Callithrix jacchus: one gene and its partners. Each later gene encodes a partner of the first gene's protein in a complex. Links are inferred from orthologs where the notes say so. Each region holds a gene or a part of one and is shown in the gene's direction. Other genes may lie near its edges. The genes, in order: SCAP, INSIG2 and RNF139.

What was found.
Region 2: the proteins of SCAP (region 1) and INSIG2 are in contact, whole or in part, in a cryo-EM structure (PDB 7ETW), measured with the Homo sapiens proteins. The link is inferred for Callithrix jacchus from reciprocal best matches to the Homo sapiens genes SCAP and INSIG2. Residues at the interface, in NP_036367.2 of Homo sapiens: Pro200, Ser206, Val282, Ala283, Glu284, Ile286, Pro287, Thr290, Ile294, Ala297, Tyr298, Phe301, Lys305, Tyr351, Val354, Val355, Glu359, Thr409, Leu410, Val411, Ser638, Tyr639; in NP_001308258.1 of Homo sapiens: Phe41, Val45, Leu48, Leu49, Ile51, Val55, Leu57, Phe58, Pro59, Val62, Ser65, Ile66, Glu104, Trp105, Ser106, Met109, Arg110, Val112, Ala113, Val114, Val116, Gly117, His120, Gln132.
Region 3: SCAP (region 1) and RNF139 share a complex: the UniProt entries of both Homo sapiens proteins name them as parts of the SCAP-SREBP complex. The link is inferred for Callithrix jacchus from reciprocal best matches to the Homo sapiens genes SCAP and RNF139.

What each region holds. Positions count from the first base shown.
Region 1 is NC_133516.1:30,067,262-30,072,883, reverse strand, and holds part of SCAP (sterol regulatory element-binding protein cleavage-activating protein), read left to right. Parts: intron 1-1,140; coding exon 1,141-1,235; intron 1,236-2,941; coding exon 2,942-3,040; intron 3,041-3,198; coding exon 3,199-3,417; intron 3,418-4,218; coding exon 4,219-4,595; intron 4,596-5,050; coding exon 5,051-5,239; intron 5,240-5,365; coding exon 5,366-5,567; intron 5,568-5,622. UniProt on the Homo sapiens protein: Escort protein required for cholesterol as well as lipid homeostasis.
Region 2 is NC_133507.1:102,719,858-102,725,920, forward strand, and holds the start of INSIG2 (insulin-induced gene 2 protein), read left to right. Parts: upstream 1-1,798; 5' UTR 1,799-1,887; exon of another isoform or gene 1,888-2,012; intron 2,013-6,063. UniProt on the Homo sapiens protein: Oxysterol-binding protein that mediates feedback control of cholesterol synthesis by controlling both endoplasmic reticulum to Golgi transport of SCAP and degradation of HMGCR.
Region 3 is NC_133517.1:72,901,552-72,905,983, reverse strand, and holds part of RNF139 (E3 ubiquitin-protein ligase RNF139), read left to right. Parts: intron 1-3,111; coding exon 3,112-4,432. UniProt on the Homo sapiens protein: E3-ubiquitin ligase; acts as a negative regulator of cell proliferation through mechanisms involving G2/M arrest and cell death.

The sequences.
Region 1 (5,622 bases):
TAATCCCAGTACTTTGGGAGGCTGAAGCAGGTGGATCACTTCAGGCAGGTGGATCACTTGAGCCCAGGAGTTTGAGATCTGCCTGGGCAACATGGTGAAACCCCATCTCTACAAAAAATACAAAAATTAGCAGGGCATAGTGGCATGCACCTGTGGTCCCAGCTACTCAAGAGGTTAAGGTGGGAGGATTGCTTGAGGCTGGGAGGTCAAAGCTGCAGTGAGCCGTGATCATGCCACTTCAGCGCTGTGGATGGGGCTTGTGTTTGGTGGTGGCTTTCTGTCTGGGGAGTTTAGCATCTAGTATTTTCTCTTACTGCCTCACTCCAGCGCACTAGGCCCAAGCCCCTGGATCTGCTGCCTTCACAGCTGCCAGAAATGCCCCCTCTGGCCCTGCTGGTAGAAGCTGAGGATCGGGGGTTCTAGGGAAAATGAGAAGAGGGAGAGCCTAGCCTTGGAGGTCTGGTCACTTGAGCCTCTTCCTGCTTGTCACCTGTGTCTGTGAGGAACGAGGCTGTAGGCAGGTCGTCCATTCATCCAGCAAACCTCTGTAAGCCTCTGTGATAAGCCAGGCTCTGTGCTAGATATGGAGTTAGGAAGAGATGGGGCGAAATGGTCCTTACCCAGTAGGAGCTCCGAGCCTTAGACATGCAACAGTGTGATAGCATGGGATCAGGGCTCACCACAGGAAGGGGCTTAAGGAAGAACGCAACCAGCTCTTCCACCTCTCGAGTGTTTCTGCCCTGTGGCTGGTGGGCATACTGTCATACTGGCCCATATAGACCAGACAAGAACCACATGCGGAGGTGGGATGTGGTTGGAGTGGGGTGCACTTGGCTTTCCTTGTTCATTTTCTCGTCTCCACACTCTGCTGCTTCCATCTTCTGATGGTTATAGCTCTCCCCTGCACACTCCAAGCTGCGAACCCCCCTGTTCCCTGTAGCAGCTGTGTGGTGGTGACAGCACCTTAGAGTCCGGGCATTGGCAGGGTCCTGAGGGTTGGGGTACTTTGGTGGAATGGCTGCTTCAGACAGCTGGCAGCCCTCCCCATGCCTCTGCCACTCCGAGGCCCATGAGGTCATGTGAGTCATGTTGCAGACAGCAGCCATGTGCTGCCCTGTGCTCTGTTGCTGCCCTCTGCAGGCCTAAGCAGTGAGAGCTGGTCCATCATGAAGAACATGGCCACGGAACTGGGCATCATCCTTATTGGCTACTTCACCCTAGTGCCCGCCATCCAGGTAAGGCTCCAAGGCCTGCCACCTGGATGAGCATGGAAGCAACTCCTGTGCTCCCCAGCTGTGCAGCCATGGGCACCGTGCTCCCCGTCTTCCAGCACAGGCATCCTTGCCTGGCAAACCGATAACTGCAGCACACAGATGGCCCCTGGCATGCCTGGCTCAGAATTGCTTGGCAAAGCCTGGCTGGGTTCCAAGATTGAGTGCCAGGCAGGCTTTGCCCTTGACCCTTTCTTCCTACCCCTCCCTGCCTGCTTCCCCTTCAGCAAAGTGGCAGGAGGAGGCTGCAAGGGCATGGCAGAAGCTGGGGACAGGCTGTGCCGTTCCAGTCACATGTGTTTCCCATTTCTGAGGGAGAAGCACCATGGGGTCCCTAGACCCTTCCTCTGGTCTTCTCTCTTGGCCCTGATGGGTGCTACAGTCCCCAGACGCATGGCCTTGCCTGGCCTGACCTGTGAGAGGGCCAATTCCCATTGCCCAGAGTGACCCTGCTCTTGGCAAAGTGCCCTTGCTCAGCTGTGGGCTGTGAGCAGAGGTGGAGGTGGCCCTACACTGACCTGGAACCCCAGACTGATGCCAGCCATTCTAAGAGGAGCTGCGAGAAGGGGAGGATGCCATCTTTTCTCCCTGTCCTTCCCCCAGGGCTGGCAGGCTAGTTGAGGGATGGGGATGAGCAGAGAACAGATGGGCTGTGGGCTTTTTCTCCTGGAAAAACAGTAGTGTCTGCAGGACAAGGCACAATCTTGGGATGTTAGAGCTGAGACACCACTGTGCCACTATCTGCACCCCATGGTCTTACCCCAGATCTGAGTAGCACTGTGGTGATGTGCTAAAGGTCTCAACACTGACATCTCAGAAAATTCTGTCTGCTGACAGCTTGGGGAGCAGAGAGCTCACCCTTTTTCAGTTTTAGAGGAGAATTAATCTCTCTCTTTTTTTTTTTTGAGATGGAGTTTCGCTCTTGTTACCCAGGCTGGAGTGCAATGGCACGATCTCAGCTCACCGCAACCTCCGCCTCCTGGGTTCAGGCAATTCTTCTGCCTGCCTCCTGAGTAGCTGGGATTACAGGCACGCGCAACCATGCCCAGCTAATTTTTTGTATTTTTAGTAGAGACGGGGTTTCACCATGTTGACCAGGATGGTCTTGATCTCTTGACCTTGTGATCCACCCACCTCGGCCTCTGAAAGTGCTGGGATTACAGGCTTGAGCCACCGTGCCCGGCTCTCTCTTTCTTCTCATTGCTTTGGGGCAGTTGCTGGCTGGGAACCTTTCTGAGAGCCCCTGAATCAGGCCTGGGCTCTGGCTGGGTTGCTGTTGCGTGAGCAGGGTGGAGACTTAGTGGGGCAGGACTTTTTTGGGGAGCAGGCTGGTGGGGCTTAGAGATTTCCAGGTTGGATCAGGCCTTCAGTCCTCTCTAGGGGGATGGGAAGATTCAGGGAGGGTACCCTCCACTTTCAGCCCTTTCTGAAAAAAGTGTGAGGGTTTCTGCTGCCCCCTGGTGGAGATGGCATGATCTGCTGGTGGTGTGTGAGCTGAGGACCAACCAGTATCTCTTCTTCCTCTCTGCTGTGCCCTATCTGCTGGTGCCCTATCAGCTGCCCTGCTGGTTCTGAGGTGGCTGCAGTCTGGGCACTGCTCCTCTAGGACTGGAGAGGTGAGGTCACAGCACCCCCGCCACCTCCCCCCCCCCCGTGTTCTCTGATTCCAGGAGTTCTGTCTCTTTGCCGTGGTGGGCCTGGTGTCTGACTTCTTCCTTCAGATGCTTTTTTTCACCACTGTCCTGTCCATTGACATTCGCCGGATGGAGGTAGGAGTGGGCTGAGCCCTGCCCTGCCCGCCAACTCAGCCCTGGCTGTCCTCAGGGAGCCCTGGGTGACAGGGGTGTAGACCTTGGGCAGGGCAGCAGTCCTGTGAGGGCAGCCTCTGGACAGTGGACTCAGGCCCTGACCACTGTGTCCCCAACAGCTAGCAGACCTGAACAAGCGGCTGCCCCCTGAGGCCTGCCTGCCCTCAGCCAAGCCAGTTGGGCAGCCAACACGCTATGAGCGGCAGCTGGCTGTGCGGCCATCCACACCCCACACCATCACGTTGCAGCCATCTTCCTTCCGAAATCTGCGGCTCCCCAAGAGGCTGCGTGTCGTCTACTTCCTGGCCCGCACCCGTCTGGCACAGCGCCTCATCATGGTACCTGCCACCTCTGCGTTGCCCTCTTAGTGCTCCAGGCCCCTTGTGGTGCTGCACTTGGCCTTAGAGTGGCAAGGGGTGCTCCTCAGGCCCCGGTGGCCCCTGGAAGCCTGGCTCTGGGGAGCTGCCTGTTGTGTCCTCCCTGCCCAGACCCTGGTGGCTTCTGAGGAGACAAGCCTGTCTGTGGGAGAAGCAGCTCCAGGGCTCACAGGTACAGGAGCCGTCCTCTCCCCAGAGTGGCCCAGGACAGGAGCCTGCTAGTCGAGTGCTTTGAGATGGACCCACCTGTGGCCACATTTCCCTGGGTCGGGTTCATCAGCTGCTGTATCGTGTGCAGACGCTGGAAAGTGCTGGGCAAAATCTGTCACCAGCCGGGCTGGGCTGGCTCTGGGGCAGTAGTGCCTCTCCCAGGGAGTGGAACTGAGATGAGAGGAAGGCTGAGGGCCCCTGGGACTGGGGACTCTGGAGCAGATCAGGCAGCTGGCGCCGTGGCCTTGCTAACCATAGGAATGGTAGTTTTCTGGCACCAGCTGAGGTGGAGATTGGGGCGGGGGCATTCTGTGTCAAACCTCAGGGTGCTTCAGTGTATTTCCAGGCCAGGAAATTCAGCCCCTAAATGTGGCGAGTGTTGGCAGGAGGACTTGGAGAGGCAGGAGGAAGGGATGGAATGGGCCTGTGCCCTCTCTCCATCCCCAGGCCTCAGGTCCCTGTGCTCCTTCCTCCTAGCATGAGGGCTGAAGCTGCTGGGGATTAGGGCACGTTCCTCCAGGGGCCCCACTGAGTACCCTCACCCCCCTACAGGCTGGCACCGTTGTCTGGATTGGCATCCTGGTGTACACAGACCCAGCAGGGCTGCGCACCTACCTCGCTGCCCAGGTGACGGAACAGAGCCCACTGGGTGAGGGAGCCCTGGCTCCTCTGCCTGTGCCTAGCGGCATGCTGCCTGCCAATCACCCAGACCCTGCCTTCTCCATCTTCCCACCTGATGCCCCTAAGCTACCTGAGAACCAGACGTTGCCAGGCGAGCCACCTGAGCGTGGAGGTCCGGCAGAGGTTGTCCATGACAGCCCAGTCCCAGAGGTAACCTGGGGGCCTGAGGATGAGGAACTTTGGAGGAAATTGTCCTTCCGCCACTGGCCGACACTCTTCAGCTATTACAACATCACGCTGGCCAAGAGGTGAGCTGGGCTGTGCCAGGTGCCACCTCCTCACTCAATGGTGTTAGCCCACCATCCCCGTTCTCTGATGCAGGAGACCCACAGGTTTGAATTCTGCTAATAATTAAATAATTCATAAGGTTGTGAGGTGGGAACTGGTGTTCTAGGCAGCCATAACCTGAGAGTGTCCCAGGTTGCTCTGAGGAGTCACCAGTTGCTGCCAGCCCTTGGCAGAATGAGACCCACCCACCTGTCCAGGAGTTGGGAGGGAGATAGCCCACATGGCCACAAGGGCTGCTTGGGTGCTGGTATCTGGGACAGCAAGGTTGACTGCTAAGCTGGGCTGGGGAGGGACCTCTCTGTCCCCAACCCCCATGCTGGGAGAGTCTGGCTGTTGGAGCTGAGCCCTGCCTGGGGAGGAGGGAGGAGACTGGCTGGGAGGCCTCCCGCTGAGACTGCCCACTGTCCGGACCCAGGTACATTAGCCTGCTACCTGTCATCCCAGTCACGCTCCGCCTGAACCCGAGGGAGGCCCTGGAGGGTCGGCACCCTCAGGACGGCCGTAATGCCTGGCCCCCGCCGGGGCCTGTGCCGGCTGGGCACTGGGAGGCGGGACCCAAGGGCCCAGGTGGGGTACAGGCCCACGGAGACGTCACGCTGTACAAGTAAGGCCCGCTGGGTGGGGTGGGGTGGAGTGCAGGGAGGGGGACGGATAGGGAAGAGCAGGGAGAGGGAGGAGGAAGGGATAGGCTTTGGGGGTGCATCTCGCAATAGTCCGCCCACCTGTGCAGGGTGGCGGCACTGGGCCTGGCTGCGGGCATCGTTTTGGTGCTGTTGCTGCTCTGCCTTTACCGTGTGCTGTGCCCGCGCAACTACGGGCAGCCGGGCGGTGGGCCGGGGCGGCGGAGGCGTGGGGAGCTGCCCTGTGATGACTATGGCTACGCACCGCCCGAGACAGAGATCGTTCCGCTGGTGCTGCGTGGCCACCTCATGGTGAGTGGGGGCGCAGGCGGGGAAGGTGAGGGCCAGGCCCTGGCCCGCACCAACA
Region 2 (6,063 bases), on another chromosome or scaffold:
CAATGGCTCTTTGTATTTCTGCTGGGGGTTTTACATTCTGCCTTGTACTGTGGTAGGAATGACTGCATTGGATGTAGGAATCTTGGGAACTGTTGCTATATGGCTTTTGCTTTTTAGGTTCTGTCGCTACTTGCAATTAATAAATATTTAAGCTAAAGTAAATGCCCTTCTAGGTTAAATTTTCCGTAAGGATTTTCTTGAAGGCAATTTCTAAGTGTCTGAAAAAAGCTCGGTTGGAGTAGGCATGAACTGGACATACAGGACTTGTATTGCTTTAAGGAAATACGTGATGTCAGAACACTGTGAAATTATTCTCTTTTCTGAGTGCTTTCTCTTTTCTTTTAAAAATTATCGTCCATTCTGTATAATTGGCCCAGGTCTTTCTTACTGATAGTGTAAAGTCTTACAGGAGTGAAATTTGAGAGCGATAGAAAACAGCAAAAACACTAAGAGCTATAGTAAACATCAGAGAAGCATCATACAATACTTGCCTAGAAACATTTTGTTGGAAATTGATTCTTTTTCAATTTTCATAAATAAATGTGGCCGAGGCTGGTGGATCACGAGGTCAAGAGATCGAGACCAGCATTGTTGACATGGTGAAACCCCGTCTCTACTAAAAATACAAAAAATTAGCTGGGCATGGTGGCACGTGCCTGTAATCTCAGCTACTCGGGAGGCTGAGGCAGGAGAATTGCCTGAACCCAGGAGGCGGAGGTTGCGGTGAGCCGAGATCGCACCATTGCACTCCAGCCTGGGTAACAAGAGCGAAACTCTGTCTAAAAAAAAAAAAAAAGTACATAAAATGGTCAGAAAAATAAAAATCCATCTTATCGTTTATCAGTTCAAAGTAAATGAAAGGAGACAGTCCTTTGGAAAACTATTATGCATTTACTCTCGGCCCAGATTTCATCTAGAATATTCAAGTCCATTGTAACCTTACCACACCCCAAATGGAATAGCCTGGTAACGTAATACATTCAAGAGAGATTTCTTTTTTCTCTCTTTTTAAAAAAGAGCTGCTTAAAAAAACAAATTCAGAGTACAGAAGCAACTCCTTATGATGAATACCTTTTGGCACTTATAAGGACTTGCTTCTGCAATGATGGCACCACTTTCATAAAAAATACAAGTTCACCTGCACAATTCCAAAGATCTGTTTGGTTTGGTTTCATGTCCTAAAAGTACGGTTTTATACGAAAAACAATACTTCTGACAAGCGGTTAAAGGTTTTAAAATTTTCTCTGTTCGTGTAAACTTCCAAAGCCCTTCCTATGAAAACTGCCCCCCACCCAATCACGTTACTTGGTAGTTCTCGAGAAACGATTTTAAATGAAAAGCGCATAAAGTGTTGCAGCATGGAGATGAGCGACAACCATGCTCTTCTCTCAAAATATGTTATAATTTACTAGGGGAAGAAAAGGAGCAGAGTATAATGCGCGGTGTTCTGTTGGAAGTACTCGGCGGCCTGCTCCGGAGCGCGCCCCTTTAGGCTACGAGATGAGGGTCACGCAGGCGGCCGCGCCTCCCGGGGAGTGTGCGTGTCTCATTGCATGATTTCCTTACTCCGCCCACAGGGTCTGGGCATCCATCGTTACCCACGACTGCCTGGTCAGCAAACAACAGCTGATCCAGCCTCCAGTCACCTCGACTATCCCCGCCCACCGCTAGCAGCCCATTTTCCGCAGACCGGAAGCCCTTTTGCCCCGGCTCGCTGGTCCACCCCTTATTGCCGGCGAGAACCGGAAGCTCCTCTGCCCCGATCGCCTGCGTGTGGCCGCCTTAGCTGCACAAGCGCAGTGGAGCTCGGGCGGAGTTGTGGGAGTGGAGGAGGAAGAGGCCGTTGGGGGTTACGGGGGTTGGTCCCAGAAGATGGCGGAGGCGGGGGTGAGTTGGGGGTCTCCCGGCTAAGCGCGGGTGACGTGGTGCTGAGGGAAACGGCCCGTGGAGAAGGGTGGCTCTCGGGAAGAAGAACTACTTGTGTCTTTGCAGCTTGGGAACCCTGATGGCAGGTGCGGGGAGCCAGGACCACTGATGGGCCTGCAGGGCCATGGGCTCCGTTTACCTGAGAGGAGTCCGCTAGGTCCAGTTGGGGACTGCGGGGTCTGGGAGGGGTCATAGGAGGCGTCGAGGCCCCTCGGACTGTGGATGAGTGTCTGAGCGGGAAGAAGGCTGGAGGACGGCGGGAAGGGTGACCCAGAGGTCTGATGAGGTGGAGGTCAGCGAGCTGTCAAACAGAACTGCCAGGAATGGGAGGCTTGTAGCCTGGTACACGACTCAGGCTTGGGCGGGGGATGGATCCAAAGAAGGTAGATATCATACTAAGTTTAGAATCCACTAAAAAGATAGGGCATTGGGTTGAGGAGTAGGACTCTGGCATTTTGGACTGTAATTGGATACCTTTGGAATAGTTGTTTGGGTAAAGCCAAATAATTCTTGCCAGGGCCTAGAGGTGGATTTGATGATAGTTACTGGATATTAGGGTCGCTCAGTGGAGATTGGCAATATGGAGAAGGAAAGCAGTGTGGATTATGGGGTGGGCGCTGGCAATGGTACTAACACTTAAGTGATATGACCCGTTTCCAGTTAACATTGGAAAAAGTTGTTGAAGTATGATATTAGCTAGGTAGTCTAGGAAAATATACCACGAAGAACTTGCTGTTTTGTAGGATTGATAAAGAAGTGCTTTAAGAAGGAATGGTTAGGCTTGGCAGCTGGGCCGGTGAAACTGTTTGGCATCAGTATTGCCGTGGAGCTGAGGACTGCAGGGGAATGCGTGCTCCAGTCCTGGTGCAGAAAAAATAAAAGCAGCGAAACAATAGCTAGATGGTTCTTTCTAACTTTTGGGTTGGGTCCTGTTAGTGAAGCACTGAATGAAGATGGATGAAGGGAATGCTACTAATGGGGGCTCCAAAGGAAAAAAAAAGCCGTGTGCTCTTCCTGTTTCTCTTTTTCTTTCTTTCCCTGGACTTTGCTCAGTACTGTGGTTTCTCATTGTGTCGTCATAGTTCTCAGTTCATATCTGCTATACAGTGACCAATCAGTGACTCATGTACATTTGGGAAAGAGGTTGATTCTGTTTAACTGACAACTGTTGCTTCTGCGGATGGTCACACGGAAAAGGAAAGGATTAAATGCGGTTCAGTAATTTAAAGAGTTTTCTTTGTTCTCAGAAACTTCTCTCGAAACGATGGAGTAGCTTTTTTAGGCACTGAGATGTGATGTTTAAAAGCTGTAATGCGGTGTAAATGCAGCTAGCTTACTGGTTTCTGTGTTTGGGTTTTCAAGTTGAAAGAGTTGGAGTGTTTATAAGGCAAATAATTTTTTTTCTTCCTAGAAGTTTTTAACGTCCCTAGCCCATGATACATGTAGATGTGTTTTTATTTAGGGAGAATTAAACTGTTCCTTTGATTTAAGTTTGTTTTTTTCTAATGTTAGTGCTTATTCTATTTCAAGAATGCTATTCTAATTGAGAGAGTATATGAAGAAAAAGATGTGAGATAGTAATTTAACTTTATTATTTAGTAGCGTATGTGACCTAAGCACCTGAAGAGACAGGGTTATCTAAGGGAGTAAAAATGCTTCTGTGACTGCTAATCATTGGAAGGAATGGCCTGGTCATTTGGTTTTGGGGGTGTTGCAGTTGTTACAATGCAACAGGTTCTTAAGGTTACTAGAAGATTTTGTGCGTGTGTTTTCAAATGCTTGTTGCTTCTAAGTTGTTTCAGTGGCCAACATGAACTTCAATTTTTATTCACAAAGCCCATAATCACTTGTAAATCTTCTTTTTTAACCTGAAAGTAATACTATCAATCCATTAATAGGCAGCCATACACCTGGCATAATGTTTTTCCAGTATTGATGATTCATCCTTGACCTATGCAAATTATTTGAACTGTTTTTCTTTCTGTTCAGCATTGTACTTTCCAGAAACTTTAGGCCAGAGCTCAAGGTAGAGTTTTTCAAGTCTAGTGAAAAGTTTTTCTTTGTGAATTGTTGAAAACATTATTTTGGTATTAATGGTAGTTTACCAACATTATTTTAAAAATGGTTTCTTGTGTGGCACTTAAATTGTTTTGTACCATGTTTGTGGATGGAAGCAATATGGTGAAGCAGGAAGAACTTGACCTGCTTCAGAGTGGGTGGGCCTAGTCCTGGTGCTACCTGGTGACAGTTCTGTGATCTTAGAAAGTTACTTAACCTATTTGATTTCATAAAATTAGAACTAATAGCACCTGCCTATTTACCAGGATAATTTTTGAGAATCTATTGAGATCTTGTCCTTTAAACAGTATCTTTATACAGAGACTTCCTCCCTGGTCAGCAAATTATTTATCAAGTAATCTAAATTTTTCAAATATAGATTAAAAAAATTTTTGGAGCATCAAGTTTATCATTGATGTAAGACTAATATTTTAAAGATATAGATACATTTTGTTTTAAGAAAATGGTGTCAGTACATAATCAGAAAAACAAACTTCAAAATAAACTTAAAGGAACTTACTTTCCCTTGAAAATAACCCACTCCTCTAGTGTGTCACTGATACTATAAACATGCTTTTAAAGGAATTTCATTGTTGCATGGTAGGGGGTTATATGGTTTTGTGGAAGCCTCTATCCATTTGATGAGTCTGGTCATTTTTGGGCATCACTGTACATGTTTGTGGTGATAAGAACTGATGGTACTGTCTTGATCTTGCTATTCCAGTTGACCACTTTGCATCTCATTGGCCTTAATAGTAGAGTGAGAGAACTGTTAGATTACCGGTTCTTTACTTTTGTTTGGATTATGGACTTTTTTGAGTACCTGATATGAATTGTAGAACCATCCCAGAAAAAGGCACATATACACAACATTTTTGTTTTGTTTTGCATGGTGGTCTCATACCCCTTGGAATAGATGATCTCCCAGTTCCCTGCTATTTCTTAAAGCTTTTATTTTTTGTCCCCAGTAATTATATACTGTTGTATTATGATGTAGTTACAAAATTAGCTTTTTGAATTTCATTCAAATAAACATCAAACAAGTGTGTTATTTTTAAAGAAAACTTTTGGGGTGAAGTAGGAAACTAAACAAGCACTGCCAGGAAAGGTTAAATAAACAGCTGTGGCAGAAAACACAAACAGTTTAGAAAGTCTAGCTGTCTTGAAATAGAATGAAGAAGTCTCTAGCAATCAGTGGCTCTCATTGTGGGGACAATTTTGGTTATCATAAATAGGGGAGGGGGCATTTAGTGGGTGGGGGCCAGGGATGCTAAATGTTTTACAATGCTTAGAACAGTTTCACACAGCAAATAATTGTCCAGCCTAAAATGCCAGTGCCCTTTGACAAATGCTGGTGAGTGTGAGATGGGGGCTAGCATGACTGAAATAGCTTTTTTGAACTGAAGTTATTTTGCTTTTAAAAAATACTGTTAAACATAAAATACCCCTTTCCATTAATTCCCTTTTGGAAAAATCAAAAACATAAAGCAAAACACTGTCTCACTTTGGGTTACTCAGAAACTATGCCCATCTTCTAGTAGCTGTTAGCAGCAGATCAGGGGAATGTGTTGTGTCTATTGGGATTTTGGGAAGTAGATAGTCAACTAATGTTCTCATATAGTGTGTTGGTTTGCTATTTTTTTCTTTTTACTTTAAAACAGTTTTTTACACCTTCATCTAGTACTTTTAAATAAAATGTCAAAGTGTTTGTGCATTTATTCTCATTGTCTTTGTGCACTTATATAGTCACCTACTTGCATTGGCTTAGTACCTTAGAGTGAATTGTAGTTGAGATGGTATTTCAACATCTAACCATCTTTTCAGTAACCAAACATCTGTATATAGATCCCTGTGCCAAACAGAAGTCTGAGCAGTTGAGATGGCGTAGGATTCAAGGCATAGAGGCAAGAGAATGGGTTTTGGAGTCGGTTATACCTGAGATGAAATTTCAATTTTGATGCTGCATGTCATGTAACCATAAGCAAGTTGCTGAATCTCTTTGACTTGGTAGCCACATCTGTAAAATGAGGATGATAATTCCTACCTTTATGATTATTTTTAAGAGTAGAGTTACTGTAT
Region 3 (4,432 bases), on another chromosome or scaffold:
TATGGCATCTGGAAGGCTGAATTAATTCCATTTCCTTGTTACCTTCCATGGAGGAAGTGTCTAATAAAAAATAAAATCTGTTTTCTGTTAAAAGAGCCTGTTAAGCTCACAACTCTTTGGGAGATTATTAGTGGCCCATTTGCTTGGGGAATCAGGTGGTTTGTATTCAGAGGTTTATGTATCTTCTTCATTGTGTCCTTTTGTTTTCTTTTTCACAAATGACTTCACACTTTGGCACAGGATACATTTTAAATCCCTGGGCAGAATCATCACTTAAAGGAACTAGCCTGGCCGGGTGCAATAGTTCATGCTTGTAATCCCAGCACTTGGGAGACTCACGAGGATCACGAGGTCAGGAGTTTGAGATCAGCCTGGCCAGCATGGTGGCATGCCCAGGAGGCGGAGGTTGCAAGGAGCTGAGATAGTGACAGGGCGAGACTCCGTGTCAAAAAAAAAGAGGAACTAACCCTTGCTTTTATGTGCAATGGATTGTGAAATGCGTCCACTGTAATAATATGCAGTGTCTTGATTACCTGCTGAAATAGGGTGGATAGATGGACTTTTATTTTATTGCTTAATATTTATTTATTTATTTATTTTGAGACAGGGTCTCCCTGTCACCCACACTGATGTGCAGTTGGTGCCATCTCAGCTCATTGCAACCTCCTCCTTCCAGGTTCAAGGGATTCTCCTGCCACAGTCTCCTGAGTAGCTGGGAGTACAGGCGTGTGCCTTCATGCCTGGCAAATTTTTATTTAGAAGAGACAGGGTTTCATCATGTTGACATGGTCTTGAACTCCTGGCTTCAAGATGCACCTGCCTCGGCCTCCCAAAGTGTTGGGATTACAAGTGTGAGCCACCACACCTGGCCATAGACGGATTTTTAATTTGGAGTTTGTCACTTTTTCTGTACTCCAGGATATGGTTTCTCATTGTCTTTTTCATAGATTTTATTTTTCAAGCAGGTTATATTTTGTAGTTGCCTTTAAAAATAACTGGATGTGACAGACATTTCCCCATGAATACTAATTGTACTTATTTTGTACAGACTATTGTAGGATCCATAGATGGACAGGTATGATCCTTGCTTTCTGTTGCAGACACATGTATAATAGGGTAGATGATACTTAGATAACTACAGACTGCAGTATCAGGTGACATATGAGTGTTAGGTGTTTCACTAAGTTCTGTGGGTATGCTGAAAGAAGTTTCTATCAAAGACAGTGGGTTTCCAGGGTAGGTAGGATTTGAACAGTCAGGGATTAGGAAGTTGGTGGGGTCATCACTACATCATACACTAAACGCCACTGTACCTATAGTGGAGAAAGGAATGTGGGGAACATAAGTCTGGAGCATTGATGTATGTGTGTTAGGAGGAGTATTACTGTAAAGCAAACTGGATACTCGAATGCCAGGAGCAGGAATGTAGGTTTTAGTTGATAGCAATTTCAGAGCTGCCGAGGCAATTTGGTGATGGCTTGTAGATGGACATAGACAAGATGAGGTTTTTTGTTTTTTATTTTTGAGACATTAATTGGTTGGTGTCACAGAAAAGGGAGATAGAGATGTTAGAAGAATTTGGCAACTAATTGGCAAAGTTTGAGTGTGTGGAGTTGGGTTGAGAGTACCTCTAAGAGGTTAATAATGGTACCTTCAACTGAAATATCAAATCACAAGGAAAAGCCGATTCTAGTTTAAGGCAAGTTATGTTTTAGAACTTTGGAGATTTGCAGTTGTAATGTAGGAGTGAAACTAGGTGAGTATTTAGATGCCATTCCCATTGTTGAAACGTTGGACAATAACGTGTTTATTGTAATCCTACTTAAAATATGCATTTCTGTTAGAGTAAAAAGAAAGATGGTGTCTATGGAGTGGGGGAAGGGGAATTACCATTTTTTAAAAACGTGTCTTGGTTTTCCGAGTGTTACTTTTGTTATGTGAAGAATAGAAAGGGTGGACTATTTTAAGAAACAGATTCAGCATTGTACAGGAAAAAGGGAACTTGGAGGATGTTTGTAAGTCTGAAAGAAACTAGGTAGGAGGGAAAAAACCCTGAATTTTTTGACTCTTTGAAGAATGCTCAGAGTTAAAGAGCAGGAAAAATAAGAGCTGGTATGACTTAGCTAGAAGAAAAGGAGGAATTAGGTGAAAGTATAAAACTTGAACTTGATTTCCTAAAGAATGCTTGAAACCAAAAATCTAAAACTTGGCTGGGCATGGTGGCTCACGCCTGTAATCCTCGCACTTTGGGAGGCCAAGGTGGGTGGATCAGTTGAGCTCAGGAGTTAGAGACCAGTAGTTTCTCTACTAAAAATACAAAAATTAGCTGGGTGTGGTGGCAGGTACCTGTAATCCTAGTTACTTGGGAGGCTGAGGCAGAATTGCTTGAGCCTGGGAGGCAGAGGTGGCGGAGAGTTGGGATTGTGCTAGTGCATTCCAACCTGGGTGACAGAGCAAGACTCCGTCTCAATCAATCAATCAAAAACTTAATGGGAACAAATGGTTTTCATTTGGGTTATTTTTAGCTCTTAATTTTTTAAATTATCTTAATGATTATCAAATGATGAAGGACATATTCTTTTACAAATTAATCTTGAAGATAATTTAGTAATTTTGTGCCTTCGGCATATACAGTGTTACTTGAAATAATCTGGAAATTAGGAAGGAAGGAAATTTTATAAAGAAAGGAAGGAAGTAAAGAATTTACCATCCTAGCCAACATGGTGAAACCCCATCTCTACTAAAAATACAAAAATTAGCCAGGTGTGGTGGCAGGCACTTGTAATCCCAGCTACTTGGGAGGCTGAGGCAGGAGAACCGCTTGAACCTGGGAGGTGGAGGTTGCAGTGAGCCGAGATGCACCACTGCACTCCAGCCTGGCGACAGAGCAAGACACCGTCTCAAAAAAAGTAATAATTTAGTATGTTTGGTCTGTCCTCTTGAACTCTGACTTTACAAAACCTTCGTTGCCCTTTAAACCAAAATTGGCTTGAGGCTTAATGTACTGAACATACTCATATTTCCTAATTAAAGAAAGAATATCATAACTATTAGTGGGAAAACATTCTTAAAGATACTTCATTCAAATGACTTTTCCTTTCTTTCTTTTAGGTATATTTGTATCCAGTATTGTTCTGATCTTGTCCCAGCGATCACTTTTCAAGTTTTACATGTACAGCTCAGCCTTTCTGTTAGCTGCAACTTCAGTGTTGGTGAATTACTATGCTGCTTTGCACATTGACTTCTATGGTGGCTACAACACATCAGCTTTTGGAATTGAGCTGCTTCCTCGAAAAGGTCCCTCGCTATGGATGGCAGTTATCGTTCTACAGCTAACATTTGGAATTGGATACATTACACTACTCCAGATTCATTCCATCTATTCACAATTAATCATTTTGGATCTCTTGGTTCCTGTAATAGGCTTAATCACAGAGCTACCATTACACATCAGAGAGACTTTAGTGTTTACCTCTTCCTTGATTCTCACATTAAATACAGTGCTTGTCCTGGCAGTGAAACTGAAGTGGTTTTATTATTCCACACGATATGTTTATCTTTTAGTGAGGCACATGTATCGAATTTATGGATTACAGTTATTGATGGAGGACACATGGAAGAGGATTCGTTTCCCAGACATACTGCGAGTGTTTTGGCTAACAAGAGTTACAGCTCAGGCTACAGTGTTAATGTACATCTTAAGGATGGCAAATGAAACTGATACCTTCTTTATTTCTTGGGATGATTTTTGGGACCTCATTTGCAATCTTATAATTAGTGGATGTGATTCTACACTAACTGTGCTGGGCATGAGTGCTGTAATTTCCTCAGTAGCCCATTATTTGGGGCTTGGAATATTGGCCTTTATTGGATCAACTGAGGAAGATGACAGGCGGCTTGGCTTTGTTGCACCAGTTTTATTTTTTATTTTGGCTCTTCAGACTGGGTTAAGTGGGCTAAGACCAGAAGAGAGACTTATTCGCTTAAGTAGAAACATGTGCCTTCTATTAACTGCAGTCCTGCATTTCATACATGGAATGACAGACCCTGTATTAATGTCTCTCAGTGCCTCTCATGTGTCATCTTTTCGTAGACATTTTCCTGTGCTGTTTGTCTCTGCTTGCCTGTTTATTCTTCCTGTCATACTCAGTTATGTTCTTTGGCATCACTATGCACTAAATACATGGTTGTTTGCAGTTACAGCATTTTGTGTGGAACTGTGCTTAAAAGTAATCGTTTCTCTCACTGTTTATACATTATTCATGATTGACGGCTACTATAATGTCCTCTGGGAAAAGCTTGACGATTATGTCTACTACGTTCGTTCAACAGGAAGTATTATTGAATTTATATTTGGAGTTGTAATGTTTGGAAATGGGGCTTACACCATGATGTTTGAGTCAGGAAGTAAAATTCGGGCTTTTATGATGTG